Saccharomyces cerevisiae S288C: one gene and its partner. The main gene of each other region encodes a partner of the protein of the gene in region 2 in a complex. Each region holds a gene or a part of one and is shown on either strand. Other genes may lie near its edges. A codon is read from its position in the direction of its gene.

Region 1 (3,105 bases), on a different chromosome or scaffold from region 2:
GAGCACAAATAAGACAAAGAAAGGGAGATCGCCCTTTAAGTAAGTAGATAGATAATTAATATATGTAGCTAAATAAATCGACTTGTCAAGAATATATTTCTCTTATTAATCTCTGTTTTCAGCAATCCACTCGGGCCCGGATTTCAAGACCCACTCGGTCCAGGATCCATCATATAATCTAACATTGGGAACTCCTGCTAGCTCCAATGCTGTCTTGATAATGACTCCTGAAACGCCAGTTCCACAAGAGCAAATAGTTGGTTTACTTGGGTCCAAAGTGCAATGAAAGTCTTTCAATGCCTTTTCCAAAGTAGCGTGTATCGCCTCCCCAGCTTCTGGGTACGTTTTGGTCTCCGGATCAAGTAAACTTCCATATGGTAATGGTTGGGTACCTGGAATATGCCCCGATGGAATGTCGGAACGAGGCTCTGGTTCTGTACCTTCGAATCTACCGAGCGACCTTGCATCGAAAGCATTGAATTTCTTAGCCAGTTCCCCACTCTTTACCAATTGGAACATTTCCTCATAGTCTACAATCTCCTTGTCTTGGAAACTTTCTGAGGACTCATAATGACTCTTTGGATAGGGTGAAAACGCTGCCACCTTAGAGGAATCTAGAGGGTACTTAAACTCTCTGTACTGGTTGAAATTATTTAGTAAGTACACCTTAGGATGTCCCATCACTCCTAATGTCCAAGCACATCTAGGGGAGCTAAAGTTACCAACACGATCGTAAACCACTAATATATCATCTTTTTGAACTCCTAAATTACTCATAGCGTCGTCAAAAACCTTCTTTGTAGGGAACATATGTGGATAGGGCGATTTTTTGTCACTGATTGCATCAATATCAAAGAAAATGGAGTTTGGTATACGTGGTTTGGTCAAGAAATCCACTTTATTATCAAGCTTCCAACTGGGTAGGTACCATGTTGCATCAACTGGAACGATTCTATGAACCTTCTCACTGGCCACTAACTTAACAAACGCTTTTGGAGAAATAAGATCAAATAATGGCATTGAATGTATGGGCAATTTTCTTCACAACTTTATGCTTTTGTCCTCATTGTTTGAATGCACTTACGCTGTATTATTGTACACAGCTGAACATCCCGAGCGAAAATTTTAAAATGGTTTAATAGACGAGATGAGAGATGAGCTCTTTAAAGGTACTTTCTAAGAAGAAAAGTATCGGAACAGGACTTACCACGACAAACTAATCATGCCGGTTACTAAATCTTTATCTAAGTTGCAAAAGAACTTATCCAAGAAAGGGAAAAATATCACGGTTCATCCGAAGGGTAGAAAGTATGAAAAGCTGGTCAGGGCTACTATGCGTGAAGATAAAATCGCAGCCAAAAAGAAGCTTCATCAAGACAAAAGAGTCCACGAACTAGCTCGGGTAAAATTTATGCAGGATGTAGTTAACTCTGATACATTCAAAGGGCAACCAATATTTGATCACGCCCACACAAGAGAGTTTATTCAAAGTTTTATTGAAAGAGATGATACGGAATTAGACGAACTCAAGAAGAAGAGGAGGTCAAACAGGCCACCAAGCAATAGACAAGTGCTACTGCAACAAAGGAGGGATCAAGAGTTAAAAGAATTTAAGGCGGGGTTTCTCTGTCCAGACTTGAGTGATGCGAAGAATATGGAATTTCTAAGAAACTGGAATGGCACTTTTGGCCTTTTGAATACTCTAAGATTGATCAGAATTAATGATAAAGGTGAACAAGTCGTTGGAGGAAATGAATAAGAAGTGTCGCAGAGGAATCTTTATGGTTTATATGCTCTTTATATAATTTTATGTATATTATAGTAGAAAAAGCAAAGAAAAAAAAGAAAATTGATATTATTAGCGAAGCTTTTTCACAAATTAATCCGTAACAAACAAATTGGCAAAGACAATTGAAGGGAGTAGTGCGAAATATGGGCCGTGATATATGCACATTAGACAATGTTTACGCTAACAATTTGGGCATGCTAACCAAACTAGCTCATGTGACAGTACCAAACTTATATCAAGATGCCTTCTTCAGTGCATTATTCGCTGAGGATAGCTTAGTTGCAAAAAATAAAAAGCCATCTTCGAAGAAGGATGTACATTTCACACAGATGGCTTATTACAGTGAAATACCAGTGGGTGGTTTGGTTGCTAAATTAGTTCCTAAAAAACAAAACGAACTATCTCTCAAGGGCATTCAAATCGAATTTTTGGGCGTGTTGCCTAATTATAGGCACAAATCCATCGGTTCAAAATTACTGAAGTTTGCAGAAGACAAATGCTCAGAATGTCATCAACATAACGTGTTTGTCTATTTACCAGCAGTGGATGATCTTACAAAGCAATGGTTTATAGCTCATGGCTTCGAACAAGTGGGCGAAACTGTCAACAATTTCATAAAAGGTGTAAATGGCGACGAACAAGATGCTATCTTATTGAAAAAACACATTTCTTAACAGATGGCTGAAAAATTTTTTTTTTTTTTTTGGTTTTGCTTTGTATACACATGTATCTATTTTTATAAAGATGAAATATATACGTCTAAGAGCTAAAATGAAAAACTATACTAATCACTTATATCTATTCTGGTGATTCATCATCTTCAGCTTCTGTATCCGTATCGATATCAGTATAATCGCTAGCATCACTTTCATCATCACTTTCGGTTTCGTCGTCATCAGTAGAGTACTCATCATCCTCCTCAGAATACACCTCTACTTGTTCCACTGCAGGAGAATCACGAACTTTCATATTCATGGTAATATCCAAATCTGTAGTGAAATAATCTGTGGATTTAACGATTACTCTAAAAAAGAAATCACCAACAGTTTCAGGTGCAGGCTGACCTAATGGAATTTTTATGGTCCCGATTTCCCAATCATTTATATCGAATTTTTCGTGTTTGGTTAAATCCATTTTTATCCTCTTATCAAAGAAATCTTTGTCATCGTTCAAGTTCTTGTAAGATAGCTTTTCAATGATAATTGGCGTTTGAAGTATTTTACCATCTTTTTGAGAACTTACCAGACAGCACCAACTCCCACGTCTCTTTGTAGGGAAAAATGGTGCAAAGGAATATGGGACGAGTGGCTGTTTAC
Region 2 (5,173 bases):
AGTGTGCCCAAGTGGATCTGTTGTGTTGGTTTCCCTCAAGGAATCCGGCTGTGCTACTTTTATCTTCTTATGTGAAGGTTCATCATTATTTATAATGTCATCGGGTTGTTTTCTGATCGCGTCTTTATCTTGTGTGGGGCTTACTGTATTTGAAACCTTATTTTCGCTAGTCTTTGATACGGCGTATTTCATATGTGGGATGGTCATCCAGCTTTAATGTGCCGATGAGGGAAAAATGGTTTGAATGTGTCTACCGAAGCGATGCCTAATTTCTTGAAATACGTGAGAATGGGCTTTACATCTCTTCACTAAATATATTTTTCTTGGGTGGTGAAAAAGACAAGTCTTTCAAACTATGCGACCTAGAAAAAAAATATTTTACCGCAACTGGCGGCCAAAGAGGACAAAGAAAAATTCCTCGTTTTTTCTCTGAGATGGGAAAGCAAGAATTTTGGCAAGAAAAGGTCCTGGCTGTCCTGGACCATGGTTGGAAGGAGTGCTAGATGTAGCTTGGAAAAGAAATGACCTATAACAATGTATCTTTTATGAGCATATGCGCATGCATATAAGCATATACATAAAAAATATATACATAAATTAAGTAAGAGTTAATTGACACATTGAGGAGTTGCAGGCTACAAGTAATACTGTAGAATTTCGTTCTGGGAGTGAGGCTCCAAGGGAGAAAGACTGCTAATAATCATTTCTTTCAAATTAGAGCTTCCGATCGGAACATCATCGCGATAGCGATACAGAAATAGCAGGCCATTTATATCATTCTTACCGAATTTTTCTTGGTAGAAATTCAGCCAATCGAAGCTATTGTTAGATATTTCGTTTAATGGGAAATTTTCAGAATACTCTTTTTCAAGGCTCTTCGTGACTACTTTCTTCAAAATTGGATCAAAGGGGGTGTCGTTTCTTGTGGCATGTAACAAAACAATGGCCATACTACCAAATAAACCGCTCGTGGTGCCAAATCTCTTAGCGAATTTGTTTAGAGAAGCAAAGCACAAAGCTAACTTTCCAATTCTGTAGTTAAATTCAAAGTCCAAAATATAATCCCTTTCGTCTTCTCTGACTTGCATGGAGTAGTTATTATAAAATTCGGTAGCGAAGTCCTCCATTGGAGTGGAGGTTTCAATCAACTTTTCGCCGAATACATCGTTATCTTGATCACTCGGATAAGCAGCAACACTCTTGGCTTCAGTTTCTTTCCGTTTGTTCATAGCGGCTGCTTCCTTCTTAGCTTTTTTCTTTTGGCTGCTACTATTTTGGCCATTATTTTGGATTTCATCTGAATTTTCATCTAAAGAATCGGACTTTCTTTTTAAGCGATCATCATGCATTTGAAAGTAAAGCTTTGATGCTTCCTTCATTGCGCGAACATACATGGGTTTGGTATAAAGTGCCTTTCCCCATTCTAACATCTCCAGATAGGCTCTTGGCGTACCTTTTCTCATACAGTATGAATGGAAATCCAACTGGTCATCTTCGAATTGTTTATAAAACTTTGGAATAGCGTTGAATCTTTTCAGCGCCAAACCTTTATATTTGCGAACAAGCCATTGGTTTTCTTTGATATCATTCGCAATTTGTTCGCTTTTATCACTTTCAACCTCTTTTTTTAGCGATGCTAAATCGTCTAATTTCTTTTTTCTATCCAGGTATAGTCTATAATAGGCTTCTGCCTGTTCTACGATGAACCAAGAAGCTTCCACAAGGTGTAAGTCCTTAATACCATTAACAGAATCATCGTTTTTGGTGAAAAGGGACGCGACTTCCACCGCCTTGTCGATATTGTTAGCCCTTAAAAAGTACTTAACCGTTTTACAGTTGATAAATCTATCCTGCAAATCAAGTTGCCTACCTTCCTCCAAAATTCCAGCCGCTGTGTCCATTAGGCCTAAGTGCTTCAGGATACGTGCCTTGAGGATGTAAAACTCAACTAAAGTTGGGGTGTGGTCAAGGGCAGCATCAATATATTCTTGGGCTTTCGGAAAATCCTTAAGGAAAAGGAAATGTTGAGACAAGTAATAATTGGTCCAAATAAAAGGAATTGGATCCTGCGTAGGATCTAATCCGGACAAATAATCAAGGACAATTTTCTCCAATAGTGGTGAAACCTTGGACTTCCTTCTTTGGTAAAGGGGTTTCACGTTGGAAAAAGTTGCTGGAACACCGCGCTCCAATTGAGGCAAAACATATTCTCTCAATTTTTTGCTGAGCTCTTCTTTGTCTTGAAGGAAAGTTAATGGAATAAATTTGGGTGGTTCGCATCTTGGATAAAATTGTTCAAGTTTTCCATACAAAGCCTTCTTCAATTTATTGTCACCTTGGATTCCCAAGGATACTTCCAGTAATTTGTAGTACTTAAAATTATCTGGATTTCTCTTGATCAGAGTTCTATAAACAATGGACGCGTCTTTCAATTGACCCAATTTCATGTAAATAGTTGCTTTTCTCTCTAATAAACCAAATTTATCAAAGACGCATGGCTCGATATCATTCAAATGTTTCAATACATTTTGTAACTTGTCTTGGTTATCACTGGCAGCTTTATACATAATGTCGTTTTTGTACATTAAACACTCGCTGTGTTCATATTTCTCGGAATCAGATATTTTTCCCTCAGCGAGTTTTTCAAACTGAGATAAAGTGTTAATAGCTTGTTGCCTCTCACCGTTCACATCTTGTGCCACAGCCAATGATGTCCAGTTGGCACGGTAACCAAGGAATGCTTCCCAATATTTTTTCCTGGACACTAAAGCATTTTTGAAATCGCCAATTTGTGATTGCAAAGTTGCTAAGTCTCTATATATTTGCTTGTTAGTGGACCCATTGTTCAAAGCTGCCGTGAACCATTTAATAGATTCTTTGTACTCTTTGGTGTTTCTCATGTAGATACCTAATACATGACAGCAGATTGGTGATGCTGAAGCGCCTTCAATTTTTCTGATGGCATTAGCCACGTAGGAAGCAGCGTCATCTTTCTCACCTACAGAATATAAATCAAGACCCTTTAAAGCCAAGGAATCAACGTGACTACCGTCTTTTTTCAAAATTGCGTCTAGCAGCTTGAGAGATTTTTTGTATTGCTTCCCTTCGTATAGTTTCAATGCCTCGAGGAACTGGTCATTTTCTTTTTTCAAAGCTATTTTAGCTGCTGGCTTGGGCTTAGTACTTCTTTTCCTAGACATACTTCGTTAGGGTCAATCGCCTTCCTCAATGGTATTTGTCTTAAACAAGGAATCTGAACATCACTTTTTAAAAAGGTTTGACTTTTGAGTGTAGAAACTTTTTCATTTTCGCTCTTTCCTCTTTACTCTGTATTATGTTCTGTTTCGACGCGGAGCAGGGTAAAAAGTGCATACGCAACCCAGCGACCTCATTAGCAAGGTCATGCAATTTGGTGGCACATTTCAGGCCTATCATGTCTCCAGTTGTACAATAATGAAAATTTAGCAGTATTCCCCCTTTAAAAGATTAAATAGCGATTATATAATCAACTCAAAGAGTTTCCTTAGCAGTCCTCTCTCAATTTTGAATTGTCGAATGTCATGGCGTTCTCGAAGCACTTTGCATACTTCAAGGAGTGGACAGAAAGAGTCTGATAATAATAATTTTTTATTGAATCCGAAGATATTCTATAATCAAATTTAACTATTATTCTATGTAAAATCTATAATTGGTTTATATGGTATACGAACGAGAATGGCGTAGGGACATGAAAGATGGTAGAATGACTAAATGAAAGCTAGAGGAAGAGCGGCAGCGAGCCACACCAATTTTCCTACTGCTTCAATGTTTGCGCTGCCTTCCATGATTAATGAAATGCTGGCAGATGATGTAATGGCTCCTGTTGATACAGCAGCAATGGAATGCTTTGATGTGATAAATGCGTTAGTAGTGGTGGTCGTGAAGGAATTTGTATAATGAATGGCACTGGATTGACTAGAATAATCTTTAGTTGAGGTACCAGAAACACTTTCTAGAGAGGCAGCTGCAGAAATATTGTCCTCAATACTGTGATTCATTACGGAAGCAGTTGATTGAACGTTACTTATAGTAGACGTTGATGCAGGAGAAGTCATAAATGCAGATTGTTTGGTGATGGTAGTGTCTTTGGGACCCGAGTAATTTGGGTTCCCAACCTCAGACTGAATGTTAATGTTTGAAGTTACTAGTGTTGTATGGCGAGTCGAGTCAGTAACTCTACTGACAATATCGGTGACGCTTGCGTGAGCTGATGCATAAGTTCTATCTAATGTGATTGGATGAGCTGAGGAAGATGAGCCGACTAAACCATTTTCACTGGCTAGAGTCGTTGGGTCTGCTGAAGTTATGCTAGGATATGAAGATTTAGTTGATTGGAATGCGTCAACTACAGAAACAGAACTTTGGGTCTTCGAATCATTGCTGCTAACTGGCATATTAGGCTTGATTATACTTGTTGCGCTTGACCTACTCGAGGAAGCCGAATCAACTGGGGTTAAAGTTACAATCGAAGAACTTGAAGTGGCCGAAATTCCTTGCTGTCTAGAAAGGCTTAGACTTTCCGACGCAATTGGAATGCCCGTGGAAGTTGATCCGGTCGAAGCTGTTGGATATACTGGGCTATTCGAGACAGCGAAAGTGCTTGGGTCTACTTGAGATCTTTGAATGGATGAGACGCTCAAATCAGCTGAACCAGTTGAGGAAACCATATCAGTTAGACTAGATGATACTGTTTGGGTATCTTGGCTGGTTGAAGTGGTTGAAACCCTTAGAATGATTGTGTCAGAGAAAGTAGCTAGATCTGTTGAAGTAGTTGGACCACTTGGTCTGGTTGAATAAACTGAGGTTGAACTGACAATAAAACTGGTTGGTTCAGATGAAGTTGAACTAACTACAGAACTAGCTGGATCAATTGAGGCGCTACTGATGATAGTAGTTGCACCGCTTGAACTAACGATGGAGCTAACTGGATCAATTGAAGTAGTTTGAGCCGCTAAAGTAGCTGAACCGTTTGAATTAGCAGAAATAGTCACAGTGCTTGAGCTAGTTGGGTAAGATGAAGTTAAACTGACAACAGAACTAGCCGGATCAACTGGAGCGGAACTGACTACAGAACTAGTTGGATCAACTGAAGTAGTTTGAACGGTCGAGGTAGTTGAGTCAGCTGAAGTAGTTG

Evidence for each region.
Region 1: the proteins of NAT1 (region 2) and NAT5 are in contact, whole or in part, in a cryo-EM structure (PDB 6HD5), measured with the Saccharomyces cerevisiae proteins. Residues at the interface, in NP_010244.1 of Saccharomyces cerevisiae: Pro376 (codon at 2,075), Thr377 (codon at 2,072), Gln378 (codon at 2,069), Pro380 (codon at 2,063), Ile381 (codon at 2,060), Ile384 (codon at 2,051), Asp412 (codon at 1,967), His413 (codon at 1,964), Thr414 (codon at 1,961), Pro415 (codon at 1,958), Thr416 (codon at 1,955), Tyr421 (codon at 1,940), Gln446 (codon at 1,865), Leu447 (codon at 1,862), Asp448 (codon at 1,859), Leu449 (codon at 1,856), Gln450 (codon at 1,853); in NP_014896.3 of Saccharomyces cerevisiae: Asn14 (codon at 1,972), Asn15 (codon at 1,975), Leu16 (codon at 1,978), Gly17 (codon at 1,981), Met18 (codon at 1,984), Lys21 (codon at 1,993), Val25 (codon at 2,005), Tyr66 (codon at 2,128), Ser67 (codon at 2,131), Ile69 (codon at 2,137), Pro70 (codon at 2,140), Leu99 (codon at 2,227), Asn101 (codon at 2,233), Tyr102 (codon at 2,236), Lys105 (codon at 2,245).

Annotation. Positions count from the first base shown.
Region 1 is NC_001147.6:802,445-805,549, forward strand, and holds NAT5 (peptide alpha-N-acetyltransferase subunit NAT5), read left to right. Parts: upstream 1-1,932; coding exon 1,933-2,463; downstream 2,464-3,105. Other genes in the region: TUM1 (thiosulfate sulfurtransferase), read right to left, coding at 106-1,020; TMA16 (Tma16p), read left to right, coding at 1,223-1,759; protein-transporting protein SEC63, read right to left, coding at 2,588-3,105. UniProt on the Saccharomyces cerevisiae protein: N-alpha-acetyltransferase that acetylates the N-terminus of proteins that retain their initiating methionine. Has a broad substrate specificity: able to acetylate the initiator methionine of most peptides.
Region 2 is NC_001136.10:378,239-383,411, forward strand, and holds NAT1 (peptide alpha-N-acetyltransferase complex A subunit NAT1), read right to left. Parts: upstream 3,201-5,173; coding exon 636-3,200; downstream 1-635. Other genes in the region: NAD-dependent histone deacetylase SIR2, read right to left, coding at 1-207; pheromone-regulated protein PRM7, read right to left, coding at 3,747-5,173. UniProt on the Saccharomyces cerevisiae protein: Non-catalytic component of the NatA N-terminal acetyltransferase, which catalyzes acetylation of proteins beginning with Met-Ser, Met-Gly and Met-Ala.